4 linked regions of the Drosophila melanogaster genome follow. The protein of the gene in region 1 interacts with the protein of each later gene in a pairwise test. Each region holds a gene or a part of one and is shown in the gene's direction. Other genes may lie near its edges. The genes, in order: Pect, CG17162, CG15043 and Srp9.

Evidence for each region.
Region 2: the proteins of Pect (region 1) and CG17162 interact in a two-hybrid assay, tested with the Drosophila melanogaster proteins (one large-scale study listed by BioGRID).
Region 3: the proteins of Pect (region 1) and CG15043 interact in a two-hybrid assay, tested with the Drosophila melanogaster proteins (one large-scale study listed by BioGRID).
Region 4: the proteins of Pect (region 1) and Srp9 interact in a two-hybrid assay, tested with the Drosophila melanogaster proteins (one large-scale study listed by BioGRID).

What each region holds. Positions count from the first base shown.
Region 1 is NT_033779.5:13,201,230-13,211,742, forward strand, and holds Pect (phosphoethanolamine cytidylyltransferase), read left to right. Parts: upstream 1-2,532; 5' UTR 2,533-2,960; coding exon 2,961-3,043; intron 3,044-6,880; coding exon 6,881-7,131; intron 7,132-7,191; coding exon 7,192-7,258; intron 7,259-7,435; coding exon 7,436-7,548; intron 7,549-8,206; coding exon 8,207-8,370; intron 8,371-8,430; coding exon 8,431-8,616; intron 8,617-8,681; coding exon 8,682-8,999; 3' UTR 9,000-9,599; downstream 9,600-10,513. Other genes in the region: CG16972 (uncharacterized protein), read right to left, coding at 1-1,179, 1,315-1,771; CG15482 (uncharacterized protein), read right to left, coding at 9,623-10,513.
Region 2 is NC_004354.4:23,091,976-23,099,883, reverse strand, and holds the start of CG17162 (uncharacterized protein), read left to right. Parts: upstream 1-3,149; 5' UTR 3,150-3,451; intron 3,452-6,274; exon of another isoform or gene 6,275-7,361; coding exon of another isoform or gene 7,362-7,669; exon of another isoform or gene 7,670-7,908. Other genes in the region: su(f) (suppressor of forked), read right to left, coding at 1-409, 475-666, 871-1,270, 1,329-1,604, 1,769-2,091, 2,153-2,188; CG17159 (uncharacterized protein), read left to right, coding at 7,362-7,669.
Region 3 is NC_004354.4:18,491,356-18,497,565, reverse strand, and holds CG15043 (uncharacterized protein), read left to right. Parts: upstream 1-3,397; 5' UTR 3,398-3,483; coding exon 3,484-3,718; intron 3,719-3,791; coding exon 3,792-4,048; 3' UTR 4,049-4,373; downstream 4,374-6,210. Other genes in the region: Pgant7 (polypeptide N-Acetylgalactosaminyltransferase 7), read left to right, coding at 64-1,157; CG15044 (uncharacterized protein), read left to right, coding at 5,675-6,157.
Region 4 is NT_037436.4:7,934,832-7,940,698, forward strand, and holds Srp9 (signal recognition particle 9), read left to right. Parts: upstream 1-1,541; 5' UTR 1,542-1,643; coding exon 1,644-1,784; intron 1,785-1,849; coding exon 1,850-1,942; 3' UTR 1,943-2,427; downstream 2,428-5,867. Other genes in the region: syd (sunday driver), read right to left, coding at 547-648. UniProt on the Drosophila melanogaster protein: Component of the signal recognition particle (SRP) complex, a ribonucleoprotein complex that mediates the cotranslational targeting of secretory and membrane proteins to the endoplasmic reticulum (ER).

The sequences.
Region 1 (10,513 bases):
TGTGCAAATAGCGACGATACACCGGCCGTTCCGCCGACTGAGAGCTGGCAAGCTCTTGAGTGGATTCGTCTGAGGTTTGCATGATTTCACGGCTGATCTTCTCCATATTCCGGACCAGTGCTTCACGGAATTCGGCAAAGTTAAGCTGTTTGAGTGATGCGGTAACAGCCTCATATTGCTTGAAGGCAGCTTCAAAGCCTTCCACATCCTCGACATCGGCCCACTCTTCCCTGGGTGCCGTTTCCCAGTTGGAGACTTTCTCGGCGGGACTCATCTGCGGCTGAGCCTGACAAATGCTTGCCAGTCTTCGATCCATAGCCTCTCCATGGAGCGTATTCTTCATCAGCGGCGGATACTTTCGCTTCAGTGGAGCCACTTTGGATGGAGAGCGGCCGCCCGTTAACTCATCCTCATAGTCGTAGTGGTCACTGGCGTTGGGCATGGAGGATGAGCTGACGGGAAATTCCGTGGGACTGCTGTGTTCGCGAAGCAACTTTCTTTGCGGATTATTTGGCAGCGGCTCCTGTCCCTCGAATGCTACAATGTCGATAGGCTGGGCTGGTTCTTCCTGGATGACTGCGTCCTCGCATTCTTCATCGTCGTGGTCCTCCAGTTCGTGATCATACACCTGACAAATATCTGGGCGTTCCTCCTCCATCGGTGTATCGTCTAAGAATGTGGCGTTTTCGTTTTCCTCCGGAGCCTCGTCGTCGACCAGATCCTGGTGCACTAAAGGCTGTTCTAGCGCTGCATCACTAAGGTACACATTGTTTCCAGCCGCCAATCGTGCCTCGGCCACACCCATATCCTCCACGACCTCCTCGATGTAGGCAGTCCCATTGAGACACTCATTCGCATCACTCTCCTCGGACAGCAAGCCCAGCAATGCACCGGTACCGTTTCCGGCCATCATGATGGCCCTGGCGAACTCCTGCTCGCATGCCACTCCCTGGGTAGCTACTATGATCTCACAGCAGTGTTCTTCTCCTAAAACGACCATGTTCTCTCCATCCACAGCCTCATAGATCACACACTGCTCCCCTTCTTCGGCCACCTGAAGTTCATGTTCAGCCTCATCATTCTCGTGGGACAGCATTTCGAACTGGTCAACATTGCCATTTGTCAGCAGCATGCCGGGGCTTAGTGCAATGCCCGGATCCTGGACAGATTCGGGTGAGTCTAAAAAACAAGAAAAGTATGCGATTGAGTGAGTTTACCATATTAGATATTTCATATTTTCAATTGGGATAAATGTTCATAATCAATTAAATGGAAGAGATTTCCTTGTATAGTTAATGGAACAGATTAACAAACCGTTGATCTCGATGACCTCGTGGCTGCTGTACGAACGTTTTGCCGGTGTGCAGGTGGCCCATACTGGGGCTTGGTGTGTCTCTTCGGTCATCATCATTTGCCGGCGAAGTCCGAATATTAAGGGTTCATTCTGAGGGACGAAACTGGAAGACGGCTGCTCCTCCGGCCAGCCCTTGAAGCCGCTGCCACTCGAGATAAAGCTGTGGGTGTCCGAGTCGTCGGAGATCACGTGCAGGTTGCTGTCCACGGCGGGGTCCAGATCTGCTCCCGTCCTCGAGGATCTGGTGACAGATGCAACAAGATCCGTGGGATACTCCCGATCCTCAGCCACGTCCGATGCGTCGCCTGGAGCTTCGCTGGCCGTATCTATCTCGTCGCCTTCCAGCGGCGAGTACCGGTTCAGTAGGTGTTCCTCCGCCGCTACGTAGGCCATCAGGCTGGCTTCTCTTCTGGACATCGCGTTGGTACGGGGAATGGGATTGGGATTATCTAGCCCTCGTCGACTCGTTTAGTAATTGTGGTAGGATTTCTTGTAAATTTAGCACGTGAAATTTAAAAAATATACTTGATGCTGTCTACAAAACAATGCCCGAACTGACTGTGGACGATCATGATTACATTATCATGGCTTGGTCGGTTTCCTTCGATTGTTATTTTTCGTATATCTGCGTGCTGTGCGTTGTATATTTCTTATTTGATAGGCTTAATATTTTAAGTTGCTTTATCCTGTGTGACCGTGGGAAACACCGTAGTATTATCTCACATCGCCATGGCCAATATGCCTCTTAAAATACCATCGGTATTATTTTTACAGTGGGATCAATCAATAAAATATACCTTTAAAATGAAAAAAAAAATTTTAATTGTGAATGTTATTAGTAGTGTTCGTTGTTTAATTCTATGACACTTTTTTTTTAATAATTGTTGTGACAATATTTACATTTATTTATAAACAAAACACTTTGTTATATCCTAAAATATTATACATTTCATTGGGGTGATCGACTCATAAGGATTTAATAGAGTTAATACCCTTTTAACGTATAATAATACAGATTTGTACTTGCTTAATATAAAAGTTCTAGCTTAGTAACATAAAATTTGCCAATTTAAAGTTATTCCCAATATATCTCGATCAGCTGTTGATGTTTACAAAATCCGCGTTAGCTGGTATTCATCGCACCAGGCATATGGTATATTTGGACAAACACCGATGCGGCCACTCTGCTCTCACGGTACTCGAAATTGTGAGAAAAGAAATGAAAGAATCTAAAAAAAAACCCAAGCTAAACACACCGCACTTACGCCCCAAAGAAGTTCCCATGCGCCCGCGCGCTGATAACGCAAGTCTGAGAATCTGAGACCAATTCCGCTCCGAGTCTGAACGTGAATCCGAGTCCGAAACCGATAACGAAAACTGAACTGAGTAGCTCGGTCGTGAAATGGGAATTGATATATAGCGGGCGTCGTCGTAGCTCAGAACAAATAACTTACAGCTCTCGAAGCGTGAACGTCGCTGTCGTCGAGTTTCCGCCTTCAAAACGAGCACTGAAAACAGAAACATACTCTCCGGAATCTAATGTTCGCCCGTTAGCCGGATTCTAAATTAAAATTAAATTAAATTGTGAAAATTCAATAAGTCAACGATGGAGGCAAATGGCGATACCAGCGCCTGCAATGGGTATTCGGACAAGCAGCGGAAGGATGTGCGCGTCTGGTGCGATGGATGGTGAGTCATCTACATTACATTTAGGGGCCTCCAGGAATTCGGTCCACAATGTCTAACGGTTCTTAGGGCAGCCCATTGCGTCACGTCGTTACTCACCGCTAACGGTAAAGTGAGTCAAAGCATAACCATTCCGCGTCGGTGCCATCGATTCCATGCCACACCACGGCCAACCGAACCCTACTATTTCAATTCCAATTTGGTTTCCAATACCAATAACCGTAATCAGTCGACGATAAACTAAACCCCATTTTTAGGCGTGCTAAGAAGCGTCCAGGGTTCCTCAATTGATTAGCAAATCTTTGTGAAACGGTGCCGTCTCGCTGCCCGTTCCAAATATCCACCCATTGCCGTCGTCCGGCTGAAATGTCTACATAATTCAGGTTCAAGGTCTCTCGGATCCGAAATGTCCATATTCTCCACGCTTGACCGGGACATTTGGCATTATATTTATATTTATACGCTATGCAATCTATTTATAATTGTACGCTTACAGTGGCTATTCTAAAACAGATTACTCAGAGAAAATGTTTAATTTGCCTTTTCCGGCGATACTCGCACTCTTTATGGCGCTTAAGCTAACAACAATACATATATCCCAAATTAGTTTGCACAATAATTAATTGCTATATGTGATAAACCGGGTGTTCGGTTCATCTAATGCATCTATGTATTTTAGATCCGCATATAGATACTATTGACGCACTTTGCCTTGTTTTGGGCACCATCAAATGGTTCTATAGGCATTGCGTTCCCCCATATATATATATATATATAATTATTTGATTCCGTGCAATGCATCATCAGAAACCGGTTTATCTTTATCGGTAATGACGCGTTAGACTGCGATATGGACGGATGGATAGATGGCCTACCATAACAAGTTTGCTTCATTGGGGGACGATAGAAATTTCCTCAATTGTGGCTACCGCCAGTCGGTAAAAATAAAAATATACCCATTGTTTATATGCGCCCTCGCTCTTTCTCTTATTTCCTTGTATTTCTACTCACCGTATAAACAATGGCACACGCCCAACAAGCAAATGTACATACATATATGTGCCATATACATGTGCTCTGGCTAACCCACTGTATCTGAACAGCCTGCCTTTCCTTCCGCTCTTCTGTTTTTGAGGCTTCAGATTTTCGGATGAGGGCTGCGTTTACGTGGCCCTTGTTGACTGTGGCTGCCCGCCGGTCGTCCGTCCGCAAACATCACGTGATTCTGGCATGCGCATGCCCTCCGCCTCGGCGATGGACCCCACACCCCTTTTGCACCACCATCATTGCCATTGCCTCGCCATTGACCCACAATGCTGTCGTCATCGTCTGGCGGTCTTTTGTGTGCCCAATTTAATTGGCATTTCGCTGGGCCTCTCCTGTACTGACTAAATAATCGCAAGGGATCGTCTTTATTTTAAAAGGGTTTTTTAAACCATATCCATTTATTATTAAGAGGTGGTTCAATCTTATAGTATACTTCTGCCTAAGCAAAAACATACATATGGCAAAACTTTTAGAATCCAATTGCGAATGCCCTGAAGCAAGATTAGAAAATGTCACCTAATTTATGGATTTAAACCTAAAACATATACATCATGCTCATTGGCATTTCCGGGTAATTTTGGCAGTCTATGCTCCCTTATGTCCATTGTCAACGGGTCACAGCTCCCTGTCACCAGTGTGGAAGTCCTCTAGCTGCGACAGATAAGAACGACCTACGTAGTCGTGCTCCAATCGCTGAAATTCCACATCAGCTGCTCATGGGCACGAACAACAAGTATAAACATAATATTTGCGTGGAATCTGATGGAATCTGATAACCCATCAGATGGGGAAAGCACGTATGTATGTGGGGCACTTGGACCCAAAAATCATTCTAATCAGCAGAGATTGATCATTGACGCAGGCACAAGTGCTTGGCTTGTCTCCTCCTTTCCACCCAAGTCAATGAACCTCTGCCAGTGGAAATAACAAATGAATGGGAAGCTCTCGTAATAAGAGAGTCCGGGGCCTTAAGGCGGGGCATATATGTACATGTGTGCTGTAGTATAAGATCTATGTATATGGCATACTTTACCCCACCAAGTCAATCCACTTTACTAGGCTCTGGGGTCCGGACGACAGAGCACAAATTCTACGGAGAATCGCGTGATATTTTTTAATCAGCAAACGGGCGTCGGCGTTGCTGTCGCTGGTGTTGTCGCTGCTTTTAGCTCACTCAATTGATTAAGCGGCCCCTGGGTCTGTTCTACATATAGAGTACAACAATGCTAATATGGGTATAGTATGTTCGGCACAGATTTCTTGGTGCGCTGCAAAAAAATCTCCGGGAGCAAAGGTTTCGCTTCGATTAATGAATGGCCCACGTTTTTACTAGCTGCTTTTTATGGTGGTGGTCATCTCTCCGCATTTGTTACTATCTGGGCAAGTCAAGGGACTAGCTGGCATAATCCATCTTTTATTTTTAGGCGTGCATGCAGGGGCATTGCATTTCATTTAAATTTCATTTCAGTTAAAGATCCAGTTTGTTTTGAGTACAACTATTTTCTTGGGAATTCTCTAATCTTCAATGGAAGCAGTACTTAAAATACTTTCCGTCTATCTATTTCAAATGAACTCCTCACAATCGATTACCGAAGAAACCGTCGATGGTGACGGTATTATTTCTTATCACCCGCCATTTAGTTAAGTGGTTACCTTTTGCATGTTATGTTAAAAAATGTTTGCACAAAGCCCGCTGGGTGAATCATTTTCCAAAAGAGCAGGTTTCAATATGAATTATTTTATAAATACTTACAATTACAATGTACCTATGGTGGAAAAAATAAATACCTTCATAATTGGTGTTAAGTGCAATTTGTGCAACGCCTCACGTCCCCCGGATGCTATTATCGCTTTCCCAAGCCAAACAAAAACCAGGCCAGGGCACGTGTGCCTATAACCATAATGCCTAGAATCGGCGGAGAATGTAAACAAGCTGAATGGCGATGTTTGCGTATATGTGGCCACTGAAAAGCTGACGCAGCAGCGTTCATAATTGCAATTAGAATTGCAAAACAACGAGCAGCAAATGCGGTTTTATTGATATCCCCTGTCCCGGTTGCTTCATCCATCTCTCTCTCGGCATTTTTGGCATACCCACTCTGATGATCGAGTCCAAAGATCAATCTCTTGACCAATGCTGGGCAAAAGTGGAGCACACAAACCGCCTCTATAGTCACCGGTGGTCAGTCCGTCAGCTACTGGTCATTAAAAGCACTCGACCAGACATCTTTGACGCGCTTCGACAGCGGTTTATGTAAACTATGTAAATGGCTTGCTCGAACCACTTTATTACTTTATCGTCTGGGGGTCATTAGCAGTACTGCTTCGACCTAGCTTCCACCATTAACTAAATGACCAGGATTCCAGCTGAGCGTCAAGACAAGTGGTTTTTTTTTGTTGGGCCTAAGGTTCATTATACGTATGTATGTATGCACATTCCATGCGATAATTGTTTTTTTTTTTTTTTTTTTTTTTTGGCAAGTCTCGAAGTTAAACACGGCTTATCTTGCGAGCTTGAAAAATTGCTAATTTTATGAAATATATGCCATTTTCTGAGTCATATTGGTAGAGGCAAGATCGTTTCCATTAGCTATTTGTCAAGGTCTCGCGGCAATCGTTGCAGTCTTAGTTATCTTAGAATTTATTAAACTTCCACGAATGGCAGACAACATTTCCGGAGGTAACTAATAAGGTCATGTTTGCTTGTTCACTGGCACGCGCTTGATAAAAAAAAAAAAAAACAATGTATCTATTCTTGTACTGACATATCTATCCTCCTTCCATCCTCAACAGCTATGATATGGTACACTTCGGACATGCCAATTCTCTGCGACAAGCCAAGGCTCTTGGCGATAAGGTAATTGTGGGCATTCACACCGACGAGGAGATCACCAAGCACAAGGGACCACCGGTCTTCACCGAGGAGGAGCGCGTCAAGATGGTCAAGGGCATCAAATGGGTGGATGAGGTGGTGCTCGGTGCTCCGTATGTGACCACACTGGATGTGCTCGACCAGAACAACTGTGATTTCTGTGTGCATGGAGGTGGGTAACAAATTTATGCATATATCTGGATGTTACTCAATCGAGTGTATTTGTTTGCAGATGACATTACAATGACAGCCGAAGGAGTGGACACATATCATTTGGTCAAATCAGCCAATCGCTACAAGTGAGTTTGAAAAGATATATTTTTAAGACATGTGGCAGTTTATTAAAAAGGGAATGCACACACACTTACCTTATGTACATCTTGCCTTAACCTTTAATAAGCTGCCAGTTGTCTTGTAAAGCACGTACTGCACATTTTTCCAATTACTGACCTTAAATTTTCTTATGCAATCCGCAGGGAAGTGAAACGCACAGCTGGAGTCTCGACCACTGACCTTGTGGGCCGCATGTTGCTCCTGACACGCAACCACTTCCGTCAAGGATCCGCGGAATATGATATCGAGAAAGAAGGTAGCTTTAGCTTGTTCCAACGCTTTTCTGGCACATTTTATTTTCATTTTAATGTTCCTAAATCACAGCGAGCACTGTGAATTTGTGCGCCAAATTCATTGTTTCTAACCATTACTAACTTTAATTTTAAGACTACTTTTTGTTTGCACTCTTTTTGTCTTTCATTTCCTGCTGTCGAACTTGTTTATTGCTCTTGCATGCTGTGCATAAATCAAAGTCGATCAATCAGTTACAAGTATGAACAATATTATACAGATATATTCAGTTTATACATGGGCTACGCACGATTAGTTTATGCATTTTCCCCAATAGATTCTTTTTAATTTGCCATAGTTGAACGCAAATAACGCCTTGGTTTATGGTTGCCCTCTACAACTTTACTATTTCTCTTCTTTTTATTTCTATGTACGCACTGTTAACCACTATCAAAAATATAATATAATGTATGAAACCTATGAAAACTATGCTAAATGTTTTGTGCGTGTGCGCGCCCGCGAAATGAATCCAAATGCCGAATGCCCAATGACCAACCTGCAATCAAAATATCCAAATCCGAATCCAAATCGAAATCAAATCCTAAACGTAAATTTTTGCTCTTAAATACACACTTTTGCTCATTTGTCTGCGTTGCTTTACAATACAAAACAAACAAAAAAAGTGTCAATTTTAAAACGACAAATAAAATCCCATCCAGGTTCTTCGAACATGGGTCAAGATTCGGCAGCCAAAAGTCCGTGGACCGGTTGTAGTCAGTTCTTGCCGACTACCCAAAAGATCATACAGTTCAGTGATGGAAAGTCACCGAATCCCGGCGATAAGATTGTAAGTTTAGCCCTCATTATATGTATATAATGTATAATTCATAATTGTCGGTATTTGCAGGTTTATGTGGCTGGCGCCTTCGATCTCTTCCATGTGGGTCACCTGGACTTTCTGGAAAAGGCTAAGAAACTGGGTGACTATCTGATTGTTGGCCTGCACACAGATCCCGTGGTGAACTCCTACAAGGGCAGCAACTATCCCATTATGAATCTGCACGAGCGCGTGCTCAGTGTTTTGGCCTGCAAGGTAGGATTGCAATAGATTCTTTTTTTTAAATATTATCTCATTTTAAAACTTCTTTTTTCCCCCAGTTTGTCAATGAGGTAGTAATCGGAGCTCCCTACTGTGTCACTGAAGAGCTGCTTGAGCACTTCAAAATCGATGTTGTCTGTCATGGACGCACACCCATTGCGCTTGAGAATGGCAAGATCGATCCATATGCCGTTCCCAAGACGCGAGCCATCTTTGAGCTGATCGATTCCGGCAACGAGATGACCACGGAGCGCATCGTGGAGCGCATCATCTCGCACCGACTGGAATATGAGCGTCGCAATCAGGCCAAAGAAAAGAAGGAAATCGAAGCCTTTGAGGCACTTCAACGCCAAAAACAGACCCAAAAGGCCGGCTAGCCGGAACCAGATTCCGACCTCTCACACTAGACGGATGTTTTTTATTTTCTAGTTGCGTTCTTTTAGTTTGTTTTATTTAGTTTGTCTTGTTTAGTATGTCGTCCCCTGATGATGGCGCTTTAATTTTTTGTTGCGTAAAAAGCGAAGCGACGCTGCCTGAGGATTCAGCGCACCGCTCTCTCGATTTCTAGTACAATTTTAGAATATCTGCACATGCGCCTTAATGATATAAGGTTATACACATAATTATATATTTCTAACACATTAACGTAGAATATTTAAAATCTAAATTTTATGTATGTAAGCTCAAAATTTGTAAATTCCCTTTAAAGTACGATGTAAGTGTGAGGAACAACAAAATTGTACGAATAGCATGTTATCCAAACTGTTGCCGAATTGAAAAGCCTTGTACGACTTGTATGTATATATATTCAGCAACGGAAGTAGGATGCCTGGATCAGGAAGTAGCTGCTTTTATCAAATGTAATCTCTGATACTTTGTCCTAATTTATTAATGCATATAGTAAGTGCGAGTTCAAGTTTTATGTTTCCTTGTTTAATCTTAGACTTAAATACATGGCCAAAAATATTGCGAATTCCAAAAAAAAAAAAAACCGGAAGTTTTATATACTTGCCTCGCTAATCACTTTCAGTTCGACGGTTAGCGATTGCTGCCAAACATCTAAATCCATTAGTGGCCGGAGGTCATTCAAGCTGATGAGGATCACGTTGCTGTCGGTCTTGATGAACTCACTGCAGGATTGGTTCGACGACAGTGGCAGCATTGGACGAGCTTTTATCTGTCTGGTGTAGTAACGTGGCAGGTTGGCAGGTTGGACCAGCAGGCGCAGAGTGATGGCCACGCCGTGCAAAGGAGTAGCCACCCAGATGGCCAGGACTTCGTGTTTGACACGCTTCCTTTCCCACAGCACCGAGTGCATGGTGCGGCAGGCGAAGATCATAAGGGCGCTATGCTGCGAGAAGCGGCGGTACTCCACTGGCAGATGGGTGTTTCGGTGACATTTCAGAGGATTAAGGCCAGTGCGCCGATAGCCATAGACCCCCAGCAGGGTGTTGACATCTCTTTCCAGGCTACTAATATGACATGTTAGTGACACTCGCTTGCCCATTTCCAGTTCATAAAACGGAACTCCCATTCCCGGCAGATGGTCACTCAAATAGTGACCCAACAGAGCGCTGGGGTCAACCGAGCATAGGCATCCGTGACATGGGCATGCCACCAGGCGCAGTCGGCTCCACGGCGAATCGCTAGATGTGGTCGCAGTGCTCTTCCTGCTGCTGGACGGCTGCTCGGTCAGCGATTCGAAGTTCTGCAGTTTGAGGAGCAGCTGATCCTCGGGAGCTGGCGCGGCCACCGATGCCGGCAGTCTGTAGTTGGAAAAGTGTTTCGTGTACAGCAAATCTTGCATTTCCTGCAGGCGCTGCTTTCGCCTCTCCTGACGCTTTCGATTCCGGCTCAATCCATGGATGGGAGATTGATCTTTGCCGGAATC
Region 2 (7,908 bases), on another chromosome or scaffold:
CGAAAACGGCACTACGGCGACGTTCGACCTTAACGATGCTGGAGAGATCCCCAATATTAGATTCGAACTCGAGGAAGCGATTCCAGACCTCAACACTCTTGTGCGGCGACAAACCACCTGAACTAAGTACCCGTTCAAACAGGACGCGCGTATTATTGTCCTCGTTTAGATGGGACAGGTAGTCAATGTAGCACATCACGTACTCTGGACTGCCACCAAAACGCTTCAATCCCAGCTCGAAGATGCGGAACGCAATTTCTTTGTCCTTGGAGCAATAATACTCCATTAAAGCAGCGGCCACGAAAATGTGATAGCGCGACCTTACGTCCTCCCGAGCTTTCTTAAATATGCTACGGGCCGACTTGATCCCCTCAGCACGACGGGCGAACTTCATGTACTGAACATAGACCTGGAGTATTAAATTTCGATGGTATCAAATATTTGATGAAACATATTCAATATGTGTGTTCCTACCAATGTGGGATCAATGTCTGGCAACTGTAACAGCTTGTTGTACATAGTGTGCACCTTCTCGTACTTGAGCCGTCCTTCTTCAAAGTCCGCATAGGCAAAATATAGCAACGCATTTCGGTTTAGCACGCCGTTTATAGACCGTTCCAGTATATTAGCACACTCGTCCGCAAAAATCTTGGCCGCCTGGACGTCCTGCAATGTTTTAATAAGTAATTAAACATGTAAATACACAAAAGTTCGACTTAGTTATAAGAGTAAAACGCGTGCGGCCTGGCCAGGGGCAACGGGGCAAGCCACGGAAAGCCATCTGTGTTGTGCCACTGCGTGCTCCTTTACCCGAGGGGCGACACTTCTTAGCAAACAAGAGACTATATTTGATTCGTTTTTGGTTTTGACCTTTGCCCACCACCAAGCAAAGGCCATAACCCACTCTATTTGATTCACTACAGGAACGCAGAGAATAGGTGAAATGTTTTCAACACTAGTACGCACGCCTTTTTCGGTGAGCACGCGAGCACTGGTGTCCAGGAATTGGGAGGCCTGGTGCCACACTGCCGGGTGGTGGGTGAGCACCAGCAAACATTGCTCCGTGGCGAACATGACACGACGGGTTACTAGGGCCGTATCTTCAGTGCGCAAGGGATTAGACTTCTCATACGTGATAAAGCGCTTCCACAGCTCCACTTGCTTCACCTCCTCTTTTGTGAGTGTGGGTGGGACGGCTGGCAGATTGCGATTGAGACCCTTTGTGTGGTATTCCAACTCTTTGGCAACACGACGAGCGTTCATGTAATCCCTGGTTTTAAGTTGGAATTTAGAAAGAACATTTAGCAAACTCTGCGTATAACACTCACTTAGATCGCTCCAGACTCATCTTCTCTGATATAATCGGGTTTATGTTTTGCTCGAATGCGATATAGTCCTTCCACAACTGCTCGATGCCCACGATAGGTGTGACTACAGCCTTTTGATAGACGCGGCGCACTGCTGTGATCTTTTGGTTCTCTGCATAGTTGCCCACTGCTTCAACGCCCCGCAGAAAGTATATGTAATCCTGCCAGATGCTGAACGAGTGTAGATCCATGCCGATTTTCTCCAGTGCAAAATCATAAGCCTGGGCCATTTTTTCTCTGAGAAAAGAGATAAGTCCAATAAAATAAGCGTGTCAGAATAACACAAATGTTGTGCATCAAAAAAAACAATATGCTCGCTGCATTGCAAGTTTTGACTAAAATTATAATAGTTTCTAAGATGTCAAATTATGTGAATTATTTAAATAAGGTATAACAGTTACTTGTGAGTACTTAGACCCGACTTGGTTTCCTTCACGTAGGTAAGATAGAGCTTCCAGAGGTCGATGTTCAAAATCTTGACTAGGCAGCGTTGAAAAAGTTTCTCCACGCGTTCATAGTACCGGCTGCGCATCTCCATCTCAATGTATAGCTTCCAGTACCGAGCGGTTGTCGGAAACACATTAACTAGCGACTCGTAAAGACTGCGTACTTCGTGGATTGGCCGCGTTTGGGCCTCTCGGATCATGACACTCCAGGACTCGATGTCATAGGGCCGCAGCTCCACCACTTGCTGAGCTCGCACCAGGCGCTCCATGCCCCATTCCTTGTCATCGATAAGTAAAAATATGTTGTTACCATCCAAATAAAGCCAATGTTTTACTTACTATGTCGACTTTGATAAGGTCTCTGGCCGAAGACATTGCTAATAGTCTTTGCAAATTGTCGTTGAGTCCTGCTTGCGCTGCTCCTTGGCCCGGGAAAGTTCCTTTCTTCCGTTGAACTTTCGCTACGCAATTACCTAAAGCAACGCTTGGATGCCGCTTTTCCGAATTCTTTTAGAAGTTGCAATGCGGCTGCTTAGATATCGACGACTGATTGGATGTAACTGCGATAGTGTCATCGCCAATCACATCGCGGGCCTTACCATTAAAATCCCAAGATTTGGGATGTGTAGTACAGCGGTCACTGATTATAAACTATAAATAAAAAAGATATATGGTTTTAACATACTTTAAAGGTACTAAATCTGTAAATAATGAATTCAAGCAGAAGCAATATTTTTTATAGCTTGTTTCCACTGAAACATTTTTCTGTACGTTGCTAAGGTGAAGGTTGTTAACAGATACTTTGAACCGTTTAAGTTCTATGTAATAGTAAGTAAAAGAGGTAATATTTAATAAAAAGGCATTTTTAGGAAGCCTGGAATTGTATGCCTAGTAGCGTAACTAGGTACGAATTTTTCCTGATTACCCTATAACATTATACATTAAAACAATATAACATAATATGAGGTAAAGGTATTCTTGGTATTGTGGTATTCGAACAAACATAACTATGAAAACACACGAAAACATTATAATTTAAGTCAATGGATTGTTCTTAAATGTTTTAGACACGAGTCCAAGTGATAACAAAATTCAACAAGGTTAACGGAACTTATTTTTTGCTATAAGAAATAGAAAGTGAAACGCACCTTTCTTCAGCAACTGTAGTGTTAAATTGTTTTAAGAATTTACTTACAGAGAAATGTTTTATTGAAATTTAATTTTTTCTTTTGTTGTTTCTTTTTCATGTTGAGGGTTCAACATTCCCACAATTTAACAGTTTAAGGAATACCCAGAATCTAACCCTAGAAATAGATTGGTATATTTATCGATATTAATTCAGTACCAGTATGCGGTCACATTGGGTAAGTGTCAAAAAAGTTTTAAAACAAACGCTAAACAATCAGGAGTGGCAATCAAACGAAACCAAGCGCATTTATTAGCCGAGAGATAATTCGAGTTAAATTCGCAACTAGTATTAGTATCATTCATTGAAACCGATTTATTAAACTGCCAAGGTAGACAAGACACACACACATGTGCGTGTTTCCGGAGAGCATCACAATCATTGCAGACCTAGAGGCCAACAGCTGTTGTTGATGTCCTAGCGGTATATTTACGGTTTATAGACTTCGACAAGTTAGTGAAATTATTACCGTTCCTGGGTCACTCTCCCTTACCTAATACCTCTGTGGGTGTGTGTGCTAAGGCGCAATAAGTGTGTCACACTGACGCGGTTTTGTGTTTCAAAGTAGAACAAACACTGTGTGTGTGTATCCCTCACATATGCATTAGCTTTGTCTCTGTTATATTGGCCAATGTTTATTCCTGCATACCAGAAATAAATAAACAAAGAAATCATTCTCTAAGCTGTGTTGCAAGCACAAAAAAAATTTTGTCTGCAACGATAAGTTTTTCCCTTGATACAAATATTTATATATCTTTTGAGCCATAGCGTTTTTTCATTCTGCAAAATTAGTTTTATTCAATGTGGTTTGTATTATGTGTTTTTGACTATCAAAACTATCAAAAAATCGTGTATTAAGGGGACTTTATACCGTAAAAATGTATGTTGTCTTACTAAAATATTTTTGTTATAAAAACTTAACTTTCAAAAGGGATTTAAAGCGAATGCAACAAAACTCATTCATGAAATATACCTTATTTTGTAGCTTATTTAATTCTTGTTTAGATAGTTGTAATTAAAAAGTGCATTCTTTGCGATTTTCGGAGAAATTATAGTTTTTAGGTCCTTACCCTACTTGTTCAAATGCAGAGTAATTTTAGCTAAAAGGGAGTTAAAAATGCCTGTTGGTGAATTGATTCATTAATTTGTTATTATGTTTGTGTTTACTTTTTTGTAAAATAATTCAATATGCAACCACTACCACGAAATCAGTTGTTCTTTGCTTGGACTAGAAAAAGCATACGAAATTAGGGAAATACCTATACAAAATTAGTTAATTAAATATAAGAGGCGGTGCCACGGCCACAATTTTTGGTATCATAAAAGATAATGGCAAAAAAATTTAAATATCTTTATCCGTTCTAGAGTTACAAACTACAACAAATATAAGGGGCGGTTTCAGAACGGATATATTGTAACCCAATCTGAATATCTTTCAACGTCCTGGAGTTATTCATTTTGGGCAGAAAAAGTGGTAAAATTTCACATAGTGGTACGTGGGCAAGTTTTGAAATATTCGCACACCCTAACGACGGCAAACCGCCCAAAAGGTTCACACCCACACTTTTGTGAAATGTTATAATTATTTTTCATTGCATTTTTTGATTTTTTGCTACTTTGTATCGCTTTGCCAAAATACCTCCACCATCTCATTCGAACGCCAACCAAATTTTTTAAATATGTTTAGACTTTTTTATTTGGTTATTATACCCGTTACTCGTAGAGTAACGTAGATTCGTTTAAAGGAATGTAACACGCAGAAGGAAGCGTTTCCGACTGTATAACGGATCAATAGCCGAGTCGATATAGCCATGTCCGTCTGTCCGTATGAACGTCGAGATCTCAGGAACTATAAAAGCTGGAAGGCGGAGATTTAGCATGCAGATTCTAGAGACAAAGACGCAGCGCAAGTTTGTTGATCCATGTTGCAACGCCCACAAGCCCACGAAAAAATGCCACAAGCACTCTTTTGAAAAATATATTGATATTTTTTCACATCTTTATTAGTCTTGTAAATTCCGATCGATGTGCAAAAAAAAACTGTTTGCCACACCCACTGTGACGCCCTTAAGCCGACAAACCGGTCACGCCCCACTTTTGAAAATTGTTGAAATTTTTTCTCATTTTATTCCCCAACATCTTTTGGTATCGCAGAAAAATATCTGGGTTAACGGGTATCTGATATTCAGGCAACTCGACTATAGCATTCTCTCTTGTTATTCTAAACAATTTTATGGATATGACAATCAAGTTTCAAAGTTTCTCCCTCGTTCTCCCCTTAGTTGAGTGGCGCTAGTGGAGAAAATCTATAGCGGTTCCTTTTGTTATTTTAACTTTTTTCCTAAACTAATTTTCCATAACAGAGATAAATTAGTTGGAAATTGTCAATATATTTCTAAATTAATTTGCTTTCTTTAAATATCAATTTATTTAATAGATAGAAAATTCATTTCGTCCTGTCTGTGTTACCAAAATATTTAGAACACTTAACAAAAATTCATATAACGTTCTGTTATATGAATTGCTGTTTGATTAACGAATGATTAAAACGTTTAAAACGTTACGTTTCGAAAATCAGAAAAAAGGAAAGAAATGCATACATTATCTTAACTTCAAAGCTTTTAAAGTTTTCGAGGTGACAGCCCCCTTACGGACAGACAGACTTTACCATATCAATTCGGCTAGTGATCCTAATCAGGAATATTGTACATATATATGTATATGTATACCGCATTAAAAGAGCATACAAAAAATTTCTGAATTCTACGACATCGAAATACAAAATACAAAGATAAAAAATACTTGTAGAGTAAAAGGGTATAGTTGATTCGTTGGAAAGTATGTAACAGGTAGAATAAAGCGTTTATAGCTTCAGTTTCAGGAACTATAAAAGCTAGAATGTTGAGATTAACCATTACCACTCTAACGCCCACAAACCGCCCAAAACTAAAAAAATTTGTTTCATGGTTTTATAAGTCTTGTACATATCTACCAATTCGCAAAAAAAAATTTTGGCACGCACACTCTACCGCCCACAAACCACCCAAAACTGTCACGCCTACATTGGAATAATTTTTAAATTAGTTTCCATTTTATTATTTTGGTTTCCAATTTCTGCCGATATTCTAAAAGACATATTGAAATATGTCGTTCCACCTGAGTAACGATAGCTGGGGAACTCGACTATCGCATTCTCTATTGTTTATAACTCATTTTATGGAAATTATAATGATAATCGTCATCAGAAATTTGTTCTGATTTTTTCCTGTTACCGTCGGTTAACTCAACTTGTTTTTGTTTGTTAGTTTATCGGGCCAAAAACCGATTCGTTCAAGCTACTTTTCAGCCATCTTGTATAACCGGTTATGATACGAATTTTCTTTATAATTATGTGGTGCATTTTTTTAAAATAATCCCTGGGACATCGTTAGATAGTGTCTTTCGACGGCTTGCGAGTTCTTGCTCCTAGATTGTATAACTCTGGACCTATCCAACAACTCTACTAACGATTTTTGACATAGTTCGTTCTGTCTCGTTTATTCTGTCTTGTTTATCGTGAGTCGAGATGTCCAAATTGGACAAAATTGGCTTGTAAAAGAGGTGTTGGTGTATGCAAAAGTTGGTGTTTGCAGTTACAATGGTTAACGACATGAACGTTAGTAATTTTTCTATCAAGGGTGGACCACGCCCACTAAGCCTAAGTGTGTTTGGATTGTTGGGTGTGGGTGTGGAAGTAAAAGAGGGCACTAAATGTGAGAGTAGATATAGTTGGCTGTGTTCGTCGGGATCTTTTCAATTTAATTTGTCTACCCTGAATTTTTTTTCACGGAGCAGTAATTTAGTGATTATCGTTTTTTTCAGTCGGGTCATTCGGGGGGAACCGTACTAAAGAGTCTACTTTGTTTACTGCAAAATTCATTATTATTAATGATATGATTAAAATGAAGTTTTTTATTTATAATCGAACACAATTTTTTGTGTACCAAAATTATTTTAGTGGTTATACATATTTAAATGATTTTTTTGAGGGTATTAATAGATACAGTTTAGCAACCCAACAATTCAGCCTTTCGTTACTTTTTCAACTCCAATCCGATGTCAAACAAACAAAAATAAATCGCGAGCTGACGTGATAACAAATAACCGCAAACTGCTGTTGCTAACAGAAATTGTATTATTCGGTTGTTCAATAAATGTTCAGTCAAATTCGGATACATTAGGCGAGGAGGAGAAGCCATCAATCAGTCAACCTACGCAGTTTACATTGTTGGATCCGACGAGCAAGTTGGCTTGAAGCGCGCTAAGCGGTCTAATATCCCGTCTGTTGGCTTGATGCCGTAAAATTTTCCAAGGGCCTGAGGCATGTGCTCCTCTGTCGGCCTGGTTGTGGAAGGCATTGCGCTGGGCAGTGGAAGCCAGTATTTTTCACGGATGACCATGAAAAGAGAGTACAATACAAAGTGTTTTTGGATGGATCGCTTTTGTCACGAAGTAGCTAACCACTATAGGGAGCAGCAGCAGCTTGGACCTGGATGTGTATCCCGAAATGCAAGCCATCGGCGACGAAAGAGGATACCCTCGGTGAAAAAATCTCGGGAGCCTGCATTATTAGCGTCAGGATATGCGCAGTTTCGCGATGTGTGGCCAACTCATGTGCACTACTTCCCCAGGTTTGGTGGGGTTTTAATTATATTATATATTAATTATAAATATAGCCAACTGAAAATTTACCCATATACATATAAACATTTAAAGGCCTTTTTGATAGTTACTACCAGACATGCCTCTGCATGTCTAACGTTAGTGATTTGGCTCAATATGTATCACAATCACACGTCTTCATTCCAGCTGATGGCAGGTTGTTTATGGTGTCAACACTTTAAGTCAATACCAATACCTTATAGCTTGT
Region 3 (6,210 bases), on another chromosome or scaffold:
ATCATATTAACCCACAACCTTATAAATATCCACACAAACACTAAACTGCTTTGCATCCCGCAGGTGAGGTGATCGTCTTCTTGGACGCCCATTGCGAGGTAAACACCAACTGGCTGCCGCCCTTGCTGGCGCCCATCTACCGGGATCGCACTGTGATGACAGTGCCCATTATCGATGGCATTGACCACAAGAACTTTGAGTACCGGCCGGTTTATGGCACGGACAACCACTTCCGCGGCATCTTCGAATGGGGCATGCTGTACAAGGAGAACGAGGTGCCACGTCGCGAGCAGCGCCGCCGTGCTCACAACTCGGAACCCTATCGCAGTCCCACGCACGCCGGCGGCCTGTTCGCCATCAATAGGGAGTACTTCCTGGAGCTGGGCGCCTACGATCCGGGTCTGCTGGTCTGGGGCGGCGAGAACTTCGAATTGAGCTTCAAGATCTGGCAGTGTGGCGGCAGCATCGAGTGGGTGCCATGCTCTCGCGTGGGTCACGTCTATCGCGGCTTTATGCCCTACAATTTCGGCAAACTGGCTAGCAAGAAGAAGGGTCCATTGATCACGATCAACTACAAGCGCGTCATCGAGACGTGGTTCGACGACACGCACAAGGAGTACTTCTATACGCGCGAGCCGCTTGCCCGCTACCTGGACATGGGCGACATTAGCGAGCAACTGGCGCTGAAGAAGCGACTGAACTGCAAGAGCTTCCAGTGGTTCATGGACCACATCGCCTACGATGTGTACGACAAGTTCCCGGGTCTGCCGGCCAACCTGCACTGGGGCGAGCTGCGCTCGGTGGCCTCCGACGGATGCCTGGACTCGATGGGCCACCAGCCGCCGGCCATCATGGGCCTCACATACTGCCATGGAGGCGGAAATAATCAACTGGTTCGGCTCAATGCCGCTGGCCAGTTGGGCGTCGGCGAGCGCTGCGTGGAGGCCGATCGGCAGGGCATCAAACTGGCCGTGTGTCGTCTGGGGACAGTCGACGGTCCTTGGCAGTACAACGAGCACACGAAGCACCTGATGCATCGCGTCCACAAGAAATGCATGGCCCTGCATCCGGCCACGCAGCAATTGTCATTGGGTCACTGCGATGTTAACGATAGCTACCAGCAGTGGTGGTTCAAGGAGATACGCCCACGCTGGTAAGTCCAGCATGTTTGGGAGGAGCAGCAGGAGGAGGAGGATCAAGGAATGGATCACAAGGGTTTCAGCCGGGGCAACGGGGGCGATATTTTAGACAAAAGCAATTTAGTGAAAATGAGAAATGGAATTGTTGTTGGTTTTGTAACGCATATAAGTATTGATATACACACGAAAAACACAAGATATCACACACATCTGCATTTATGACGCGAACTGTATGTACATATGCACTGTCGGCACTTGGAAATCGCCTGGGCAACCGGGATTCAGACAAGGGCATTCAATGCTCGGCGAATAAATAAATCCACAAGGATATTATTAAATTATTAAAGCTTAAGAATTTCGATTTTGTAAAACAATGTCGTAAGGAATCGCGAACAATTGTATTTCCATGTAAGCATTAGAACAATTGCTTTTAGACCATATTTGTAGTGCATGAAGTGAATGCAATTTTCAAAATCGTGTGTGTGTGTTAGTAGTAGTCGTACTTGAAAACTGTTTTCCACTTTTGTCACGAAAGATCAAACTCCACAAAATGCACTTAGTGCAGAGCGTACGAAAATCATCACAATTAGCTGATAGTGAACCCATTCCCATTTCGATCGGCGAATCTCATACAATAGATATTCAATTGATATTTGGGAGGATCCAAGCCTGGGGGATTTCCGTGCCGACCTCGTGTGTGTGTGTCCTTGCGTATGAGTGAGAGAATGCGATGGGTATAGAGCGGAAGCGAATAAGAGCGAGATAGCGCGATGGCGGGATGGCGAGTCGAGTGCAATAGAGGATTTATGAAACGGGAACGGGACGCGATGACAGGGCCGCAGATTGTTTTGCTTTATGATTGCCAACTGAAAAAATGAATGTACTAACCTTAGTCTATACTCCTGCAAGTCCAACTAATCCTAGCTTAGTTTCAACGCTGCCACATTCCAATCTAATCCATTATAATCTATTCTAATTCCAATCCAATCCAATCCGAACCGAACCAATCGAGTCTGCAGCGAAGCTCGGCTCTCTTACTACTAATCCCATTATTTTTTTTTAAACTCTTGATTTTCGTAAAGCTCTCTGTACCAGGTAGTCGTAATCGTAATTGATCGTTGCAAGTGCTTCGGGAGTTTGATTTTTGAAAACAATATTTTACATTCATGTGTAACTTTAGAGTTATCGATAAGTCTGAATAATAGCATAGAAATAAAAACGTTTTCTAAACACTTTACCATGTAAGCCGAGCTGTTGAATGTTTAATATTGTGGGGAAGGGTCGATCCATTTATAAATCAATAGATATAATAAAGTTCCCATCTCAAGATGTGCTCACAATTTGAAACCTAAGTGCACAGAACAAGTTCGCATTTTTCGAAAGTTTTTAAAATTTCTTTTAATTTTATATTCTTTTGACGTAGGTGCACCATTAATGCCCCGCCAATTCTTTAAGTGTACGCATAGAATGGCGAGTAAATCCAATTTTAAGCAGATGATTCATAACTTATTGTTAAATCAAATCTACAATTATCGATGGCCGCGTTGATTGGGAGTGGTGATGATGGGTCGATTCGTCTCGAAGGTACTCGACGTCCCACTTCCAGGGAAGTCCACGGGCGATAAGATTCCGGGAAGTTCTTTCCTCCATCGCGGGTAGGGAAGTCTAAAAGCGCGAGGAAGGGGGAGGGAAGTCCAACAGGGGGACGCCAGCAGGTGTCAATCCTGGGGCAATAGATTGCGCCTAGAGTTAGTTTTTGGCTAATCAGGGCCTGAGGAAAAAAAAAAGATTGTTTGTTTACCGTCGGATAGGAAAGGTCGTACTCCCAAAGTGGGAGTCGTGGTCTTATCTTCCGCCCATTGGTACACCATCGCAGCTGCCGGCGGGGCGAAAGGGGGATGATTGGATCCGAGCGCAATAACACCGAAATTGTTCAATTTAATTGAGTGAAGTGGGAAGCTTCCTTATCAGCATTATTATGGTTACACTTCCGTGGGGTCGCTGCACTGTAAGGTGCTAGATATAAAAAAAAGCCCAATAACTCATTTATTTATCCTCTAAGCTCTAATTCAATACAAGAGTTTCATTTCTGAACGAGAAGTAGAGCAGTTCCAGCGTCGGTGTGACTCTTTTTCCGGTATTGGATTAGACATTGTCACTTGCCACTTGAAATTGGCAATGGGCCTGATAAGGGGGTACCTAATATGATTCAAAGAAAAACAGTGGGCGGTATAAATAGGTGGTTTCCAGACCTTGGCCATCATTCCGTGACTTCAACGTGCCGTGACTGGAGACCCTTAGTCCACACACTTCGTTTACCTCGAATTTCAATTCAACGCCCAAGATGTCCAAGTTTAGCCTCATCCTGTTGTCCGCCCTGCTGGGCTGTCTTGTGTCCGGTGGAGCGGCTGGAACAATACGTGTGGATACCACCGGCATCCAAGTGGTGGATAATATCCATGTCTTTGCCGCCCAATACCCGGGTCTGCAGATCCAGCAGATGGAGAAGGAAATTGTGCCGGCCAAGGCCCGCGTCGGAAGCCAGACCGTGCGCTACAACATGGGAGCCCGCATTCCGGGTAAGTTACCCAAAGCATACCCTACGTTTGACCGACCACCAATCACTGATCCCGCAATCTGGCATACTTTCAGGCGACGAACTGGTGGCCCAGACAGCCAACACTTACGAATTCCCACGGGCGCAAGATGTGAGCCTGCAGCTTACCTATCCGGAGAACGGCAAGGGTGCCACTGTATCCTACGTGGAGCTGCTCTGCACCCAGGACACCAACGAGGGCACCGCCTACGTGGTCGCCGGAGGCATCGGCCAGAGCTTGATCTCCATCGTGCTGGAGGCCAAGAACACCAAGAACTTCTCATACCAGGCTCTCTACTACGGAGTCAACTAGGAGGCATTTGCATTAGTTCCTCGCTAGCTTTATATATATATATATTTTTTTTTTTTTTTAAATGTGACTCCAATTTTAAATACATATGTATAATGGCAGACTAAAATGATTGCAGCACCTGCAATTATCTAGATTTACGTAATTAATTTCATTTCATTGATGGGATAAAGTTTATATGCTGTCATATGTTTAATCGTAAATATGCAATTAGATCATATATGTTTGTACTATCAGTCACTCTGTTAATTGAGTTATATGATAAATCAAATTCGGACCTGTTCCTCTAATTAAAAAATTTCATTTTTAACGAAGAATGTGTAGATCCAAAGATATACATGTACGTCTTTCACTGTGTACGATCGAATGTCGAATGTATTGCAAAGCTGAAAAGTCGGTAATGGTAGAGATCATATATCACCATCCCCAGGGTATTCGGTAATCTTGATCAATTTCAAATGGTTCGTTGCTCACGCGCCTTCCACTCGAAACCGATGATAGCCATTGCCATAAATCTGGGACAGCCACTCACCTGAATCCGCTGTGGATTCCGATTGCGGCTCCGTTTGGCATGGAAGGTGAAACCAAGGCGGCAAATCATCCAGGGATTTGTCTGCGAAAGAGTGAGACGCATGAAGTTTTTGTTCTACTGACGTTATTGAACTTTCCCCCTATCTGGCTGGATTTTTAGAAGGAATTCCCAACCGAATGAATCACGTTTTGGATGAGAACGAACAATGGCCAAACTCCCAAGACTTTGCGATTCAATTGGGTATTTATCATATAGCTGGGCATCTGAGTATCTGAGTATCTGTCTTCATTCAACTATTGGGGGGACTTTCTCTGGTGGTAAGTACGTCAGTCCAGAATCGATGTGGTATATATAGATATGTATGAATATAGTATCTATGACCATGTTGCGTAGACAGTCAATTGACTTTGTAGATACGGTTATTTGTTTATTAGATTGTTTGCCATTGTGCGCCATTATGCATATCAAGGCTAAGATTGTCGTGGAACAAATAAACAAACAAACACGCGCCATCACAGATCGTCATTCAACGGCGGAGGAAACATTTCCTTTATCCAGTAAGGTGGTGCTTCCTATCACTGGTTTTATTATTGGGTGGGTTGTCATAAAAAAAATAAAAATAAAAATCAACAACATACTATCTAGCCGCTTACTAATAGATTGAACTACGATAGCACATTAAGTTAATGCTTCTTGTACGCAGTCCGTCCAATCGTCCAATCAAATAACAAGTGTTCCCATCATATCCCATCATATGCCCATCCAATCCAATCCATTTCCCAGCGGTGTAAGCTCGAGTGTCCTATTTATAGGAACTGATCGCAGCATTATGGCCAATTAGTCGATGTGGTTTTATAAAGGCGTTTGCCGAAATTGCCACAGCCAATTCCCCCGGGGGCTTATCGTTCAGTTGTGTCGGGCCGTCTTATCGACGTAGTGACCGCCGATAAGGAAGCATGTATAAAAGCCGGAGGCGGTCGCCAGTACCAGCCAAAATTCAAAAAGCGTTCGAATAGTGCATCAGAAAAGGAGTCTACACACCCCTTATTCTTCCGATTATTTTGTTTCGTTCCCATTTTTTTTCTGGTGATCTGGTGATGTTAACAAAGATGTTCCTAGTGCTCTGCCTGGTGCTGGGCATCATGGCATCGGTATCCGGACAGCCACACGCCCGTGCCAGCGATCTCTACTATACGGACATAACGCCCGTGACCGACGAAACACGCTACACCACCCTCAATCCGGACGCACAGCTGAACGAGATGAACAAGGTGAAGCACTCGAAGGGCAACGTGGTCTTCACCGCGGGAAAGCGGGCATCGGGTGACCGACTCATTGTGAACCACTACGATGACGACAGCTTTCCCAGTGCCAAGGATGTGGAGGTGCTCATGAGCTATCCGGCCGGAGCCAGCACAGGGGTCACGCTGACGAGCATCGAGGTGTATGTGGACATGACGGCGGACGATGCCGGTGGCTATCTGACCAAGGGTGGCATCGGTCAGACCAACGTGGAGATTCTGCTGACCTCCAATCAGACGCGCAGCTTCGTCTACGAGACGTTCATCTATGGGTACTAGGACTGCTCGCCCAGAACTTTCAGCTACAATAAACGATTCGCTTGGAACCCAAC
Region 4 (5,867 bases), on another chromosome or scaffold:
CCCCGGCTTCTTACCCTTCTTTTGCTCTCTAACTCTCTTTTTCTACCCATTTTTGGCTACTATTTTTCGCCAGCTTTAATGTCAATGACCACAGACGTCAGCTGATGCATAATAAACAATTGTTGGCTGCGTTTTTACATAATTAAGGGTATATAAACAAGAAAGAGATACGAAGAGAGCAAGAATGATGTGCAAAGAAAGCATATTTCTGCGATTGTATTTCCGCTTGGAACACTTTTATAGCCTCATTATCTCGTGTTTGTGTTACTTGTACGATACGAGTGGGTCTGAATGTGGATGGTAAGGAGCAGAGAACCAGAACAGATTAAACCTACTTATTGTGCGTTATCAAATTTAAGGGAGAATCAGAAACGCCCGTATGATTCAGTGAATAGTATAAATTAGTCAATGGTATCACAGTGAATTTTCCTGGCTATAAACTATCAATGGACTGCTATTGAAACTTAAGACTATTCCCATTCCGAGTGATCTGGTTACTTCTCAGTGGGACAAGATGAAAGAGGGCTTTTGTGGATGGACTATTACCTTCTCCGACATGACCATGTTGTTGTCCTCGGTACCGTAGACAGTTTCAGCTCCGGACTGTGGTCCTCCATTGTTGAGCAGTGCATCATCGTTGTCCATCATGATGAATGGTGTTTGGGTGGATCGGAGGATCTCTTTATTTATAAAGGAGGTGTGCTCTCTACTCTTTAGGAAGGGCGAGGGGCGGTAGGGTGCTGCACTTGACTGCTGTTGATGGGTCGTACGTCACGCGTTAACCGTTATGCAGGCAATGGCTTTTCAACCCCACCAGAATAACAACACGGTAGATGGGGAAGAAAAGAGGGAGAAAAAGAGAGAGAGACTCCCACACACACGCACACACCACACACAGACACTTGACTTTTTGATGATTTGTGAGATTATATTTATATTTTGAACAGATCTCTAGTATATTTAAATAAACTGCACTTTAGCTGGCTTCTGCGTGTCACTTATTATTTGCGTTTTCGTTTTGCGCCCCTCTTTCTTCTCTTTCACATCCATTCACAATATTTGATTGACTAGATTTCATCGTTTTTCGCGTTTGCTTTTCGATGTATTTTCAGCAATGTTACTCGCGAATTTCACTGCCGACGCCTTCGCGGCCATCCGTTGCTTACGATTGAGCACTAAATTTAAGCGAATCAGTGGTTTTTCACACCATTTTTGCAATAAATATTGAAACACTTTGCAGCGCAGCTACGATGTGTGGGTGGGTGTGAACGTGTTACCCTGAAAATACCGATCACCTTGCATTGGCGAAGTGGTATTTTTAACTAGGTGTTTTACGGTCGCACTTAAGTAATGTTTAGCAAATTATTACACCGTAACTTACTAAAATTAATTATATTTATTTCTAATATTTTCGATTTATGTAAAGTTTAAATTTAGAAAGGCCCTTGTTTGAAAAACCGTCAGCAAATATTTGAAAAATACTAAGACATTCACAATGGGGTGTTCAGCTGTTGAGCTATTCGTTATCGAATAGTTTTGGCTTGTTGGTTTGGTATTTTTTCGATAGCTTCAACGTCACGCCGTCCAGTTGCTGTTGTTGTTTTTAATAATTTCGCCTGGATTTCCATTTGTTTAAATAAAAAATGGTTTTTGTAAAGAACTGGGATGATTTCGAGATTGCCGTCGAGAACATGTACTTGGCCAATCCACAGAACTGTCGACTTACCATGAAATACGCGCACTCCAAGGGCCACATTCTGCTAAAAATGACGGACAACGTTAAGGTTTGCACCCAATTCCATTATCAGTGCAAAACACATTTTTAAATTTTTACTTCATTAAACCACAGTGTGTGCAGTACAAAGCGGAGAACATGCCGGATCTCAGAAAAATCGAGAAGATCACCAGCAACTTGGTGGGACACATGGCGTCCAAGGAATAGAACGCAGAAAAACAGAAACTTTTTGGCCACGGCGACACTTCTGCCCAGGAACAACAACAAAGATCATAGCACATGCATGAGCATATGAATCGGCCACGAATGTTGTTGTTGCTTCGCCGGAGCAGGTGTGTGCTTGTGTGTGTGCCATCAACACCCGCATTGAATTTAGTTTTTAAGCACCAAAAAAGCCGCCGAGTTTTTGACATTCGAATGTGGCGATCAGAGTAGCTGCTGCATTTAGCCTGCTTTTAAACGACATTTTATAAATGTCTGCTCTGTACACGTTGCGAATGAACTGCGGATGGAATCATCATCATCATTACTTCTCTTCTGGTGGTCCAAATCCCCATCTGCAGGCAGCGGCGGCGGTGCAAAATGTTTTTCATAATGTTAACCATACGGTTTTGTATTTATCGTAAGAGTCAATCGGTCTTTCAACACATTTCCATGAAACGATTAGCATGAAATAAATCAAGGGAGAACTGAAAAATGCAACGAGACTAATCAATCTTTTGGTGTTTTTATCATTAATTTGGTTTAAAAACCCCATTTTATATATATCTAGATCAATCAATCTATTCCAAAATTAAGTTTCCAATAGGTAATGCAACCAAACCTGCCATATTTTTCACATAAAAGAATATTTTATTCGTTCTAAGTATTACTCATGTTACCTGAAATGGATGTAATTTCTTTCGGAGCATATCAAAAGAATTTATTAATATTTCCAGCACAAGAAGAGGGAGTAGTTGGCATTCGGAGACGTTTTCCGAAGAACTCTTAATTGCCTAACCATTAAAGCGATTAAACAGCCCGAGCAAACAGTTAACAAGCCACCTGAAAGCAGGAGGAGGAACCGAAGAACCACCGATGGGAACTGGAAATGGACAGCGGAATGGGATGCTGGCTCACTTAATAATCCGAGAGCAAATATTGGTTATTTGCCTGCGAGAGGCACTCGAGTTTATTTGCCGCAGGAGATTGACAGCAGCCCGCCGCAAAAGATTGATGGAACGACTGGAACCGCTGGCCACTGGATTGGACAATTGGACACTCGGACATTGGGACACTGGACGATCGGTAGTCCACAAGTGTTTGCTGAGAATGCAGAATGCACTCCGTTTGAGGTGGGATCTATCTACATACATACCTGTTGAACGGGAGGCAACTCAGTAGCCACCTTGGATTAAGTCGAAGCGTTTGCTTGACCCACAGAGATCCGCTCGAGCGGACCTTTTGATCAGCCCTCCACCAACCCTACAGTTGCAGCTCAAGCGGACTCCATCTCACTTGGCCATTCTGGTCATTCGATTGAAGAAACCGTCAGTTTCCGGCAGCAATATGCATAGCTCCACGACAAGCTCATTTGGCTTCTGTTTGAAGGAGACGCAGATGATGACATTGGCTGGCGGAGATCGCTGGCGATCCTCTGCCCAACCCATCGGATGTTTGTGTTTGCCCCGCATTGGGCTTTACTCGATTTTTTGTTTGGATTTGTTTGCCCAGTGCATTGCATTGCAATCACAATCACTTTAGGCAGCTCGTCTTCGACTTTTTAAAAAGCTGGAGAAAGGGTATACATTTAGTTGGGGTGGGACTTGATATGGTATTATTATAATGTTCGATTTAAAAATATGAATATCCCTTTTTAAGCTTAATAATAGAATTATGTTAACGGTGTTCTAATATTATAGTGCCTATATATAGATCTCCATTTCCAATCCTTCTAAGGGGCTTGCGAGTGCAATAAAAGCCCCATAAATTTTATAGGCAGCCCCACAAGTTGCAGTTATCAAAATCAACAAATCAAAAGACAGAAACCACAACGAGCAATCTGTAACGCTTTCATATATACCCAGTACATACATATATGTACACATATGCGTTGAAAAAACATATATTTTATATAGATGGTCGATTGTTGGGGGGGCTGCTACTGGTGTTGGAAAATGGGGGTCGTAAACTGGAAGCATAGCAGCGGGTACGGTGGCAATAATTTCGATCTTTACAAGACGATAAAGCCCATGGTTTAATTAGGCCCCAGCGATTCTTGGCCGCTCGCCCTTCTCAAACTGTTGCGATAAACTTGACAAATAACATAAATACCTTTTTATTGCGGGTGGTTGGGATGTGGGGTCGACTCAGCGGGGGTTGCGGGTCTGATTGGGGATGTCGATGTCTCCGGGCGGTAAGGCCTTCTCAAATAGACCTACTAGTATTACGCGGACCATGGCGGTACGTGCTTTTTACGACACCCACTGTGGCGTCAATTATAAAGATATTTAAGTACAGTTAGCATGCAATTAGACGGACCACAGTTGACTGTATCGCCATGGTCAGAACGACATGGCAATCCCTCTGATTTAATATATAATATATGTATGTATGGTTTTATATGGTATCGGACCGGCACGGCCATATAACTAAGTCCAATTGATTGCCATAACTAGTTGGTCATATGACAATTAGTTATAAATTAAGACCACCGATTTGTTGCACAATCTAAAACCAGCGCATGTTGAGGATTTGCTCAAAGACTAGAAGTAAAGCTATATAGATATGGATGCCTCTTCGAGGTGAGGATTTTGATCTAAAGTTATATATCATAATGATAACTACTCCTCATTTCTACATCAGGAAAGTTTGTATAGCCTGCTTTTTGGAAGCATCATGCATTATGACCATACTTAAAAGTATGTACGTAAATGTTCTTTTGGTTATCTATATCTATATCTATCTTTATCTATAGGATATCTATATTATTATTGTTTTTCCCATTTTAATGGATTAAATAGATTTAGCCCGCGAATTCCCTTTGATATTAGTCACACATTTCAGCCGCTTCGTCTTATAACTCGGTCAATAGCTTGTGTCAATAAAAAACTCATTAATGGCAGGTATCATTGTCTCACAGCCCCCCATGCTCTACCATCTCCCCCTTTTCCCCATTCCCCACCGGAGGGGCAGGGGTTTGTTCACAACAAAGCGAAATTGAAACGCAAACCGACTAAAAGCTACTTGCCACCCCTTTTCCGCCCCCTTGGGCCAATCTATTGACTCAAAACGGTAGCCGCTCAACAGTGGCTAATGGTCATAATTAAACGTGGCTTATTTGCATAAATCAAGTGGTGAGTTATGTTCACCTGGGCAGTGCCAATGGAGGCTTTGAAGGTGTTGCAGGTGAAGGGAAATCGCTTTGAACGACTCCAAAAGAAGCCGCTTACTCTTGCCCAGTCGATTGAACTCCATTTTGCTTGGCATACCCTTCTAAAAAGGTATGTTAGCTTTGATAAAAAATAAACACAAAAAAAAAAACGAATTGCAAAAAATACACTCTACTTTCTACTTAATAAATAATTGAATCACTTTTTCTTGCTCATTAAGGAAGTTGGGCCATAAATTGCAAGTAATTTTTCATTTTAGCTTGACACACTCATAGAACTTTTGATTCATGATTATTACACGCAAACAATTCATAATTACACCCATGATTTCATTATCAATATAACAAAGTTTTCCAGTTAAATGTATCTGTAGGTGGCATAAAAACATGAGTTGTCCGAACCGGAAGAACTGAACCTACGTCAATTCGGAATATATCATAATCATCAAAAGGCCACAATCAAATTGAAGAGGTGACAGCATGTCTATTAGAAACGAAGTGCTCAAATTATATCACTTTCATTATAATTGAATCACAAGGAGTTAGCCAGAAATTTCGCAATGTCCCGGAATCGATGAAAAAAAATATGAGTTTCGTTCAGATACGGAAGCAATTGGACACTCAAGTTTTTGGCACCCGGAGATTTGTCATGGGCCTCTCCTTAACAACCACATACTAACAATATCATCACACGATTCCAACTTATCGGGGTGCACAAATCAAACATATATTGTAGCAAAGGTGCGAGAGGGCGATTTCAAA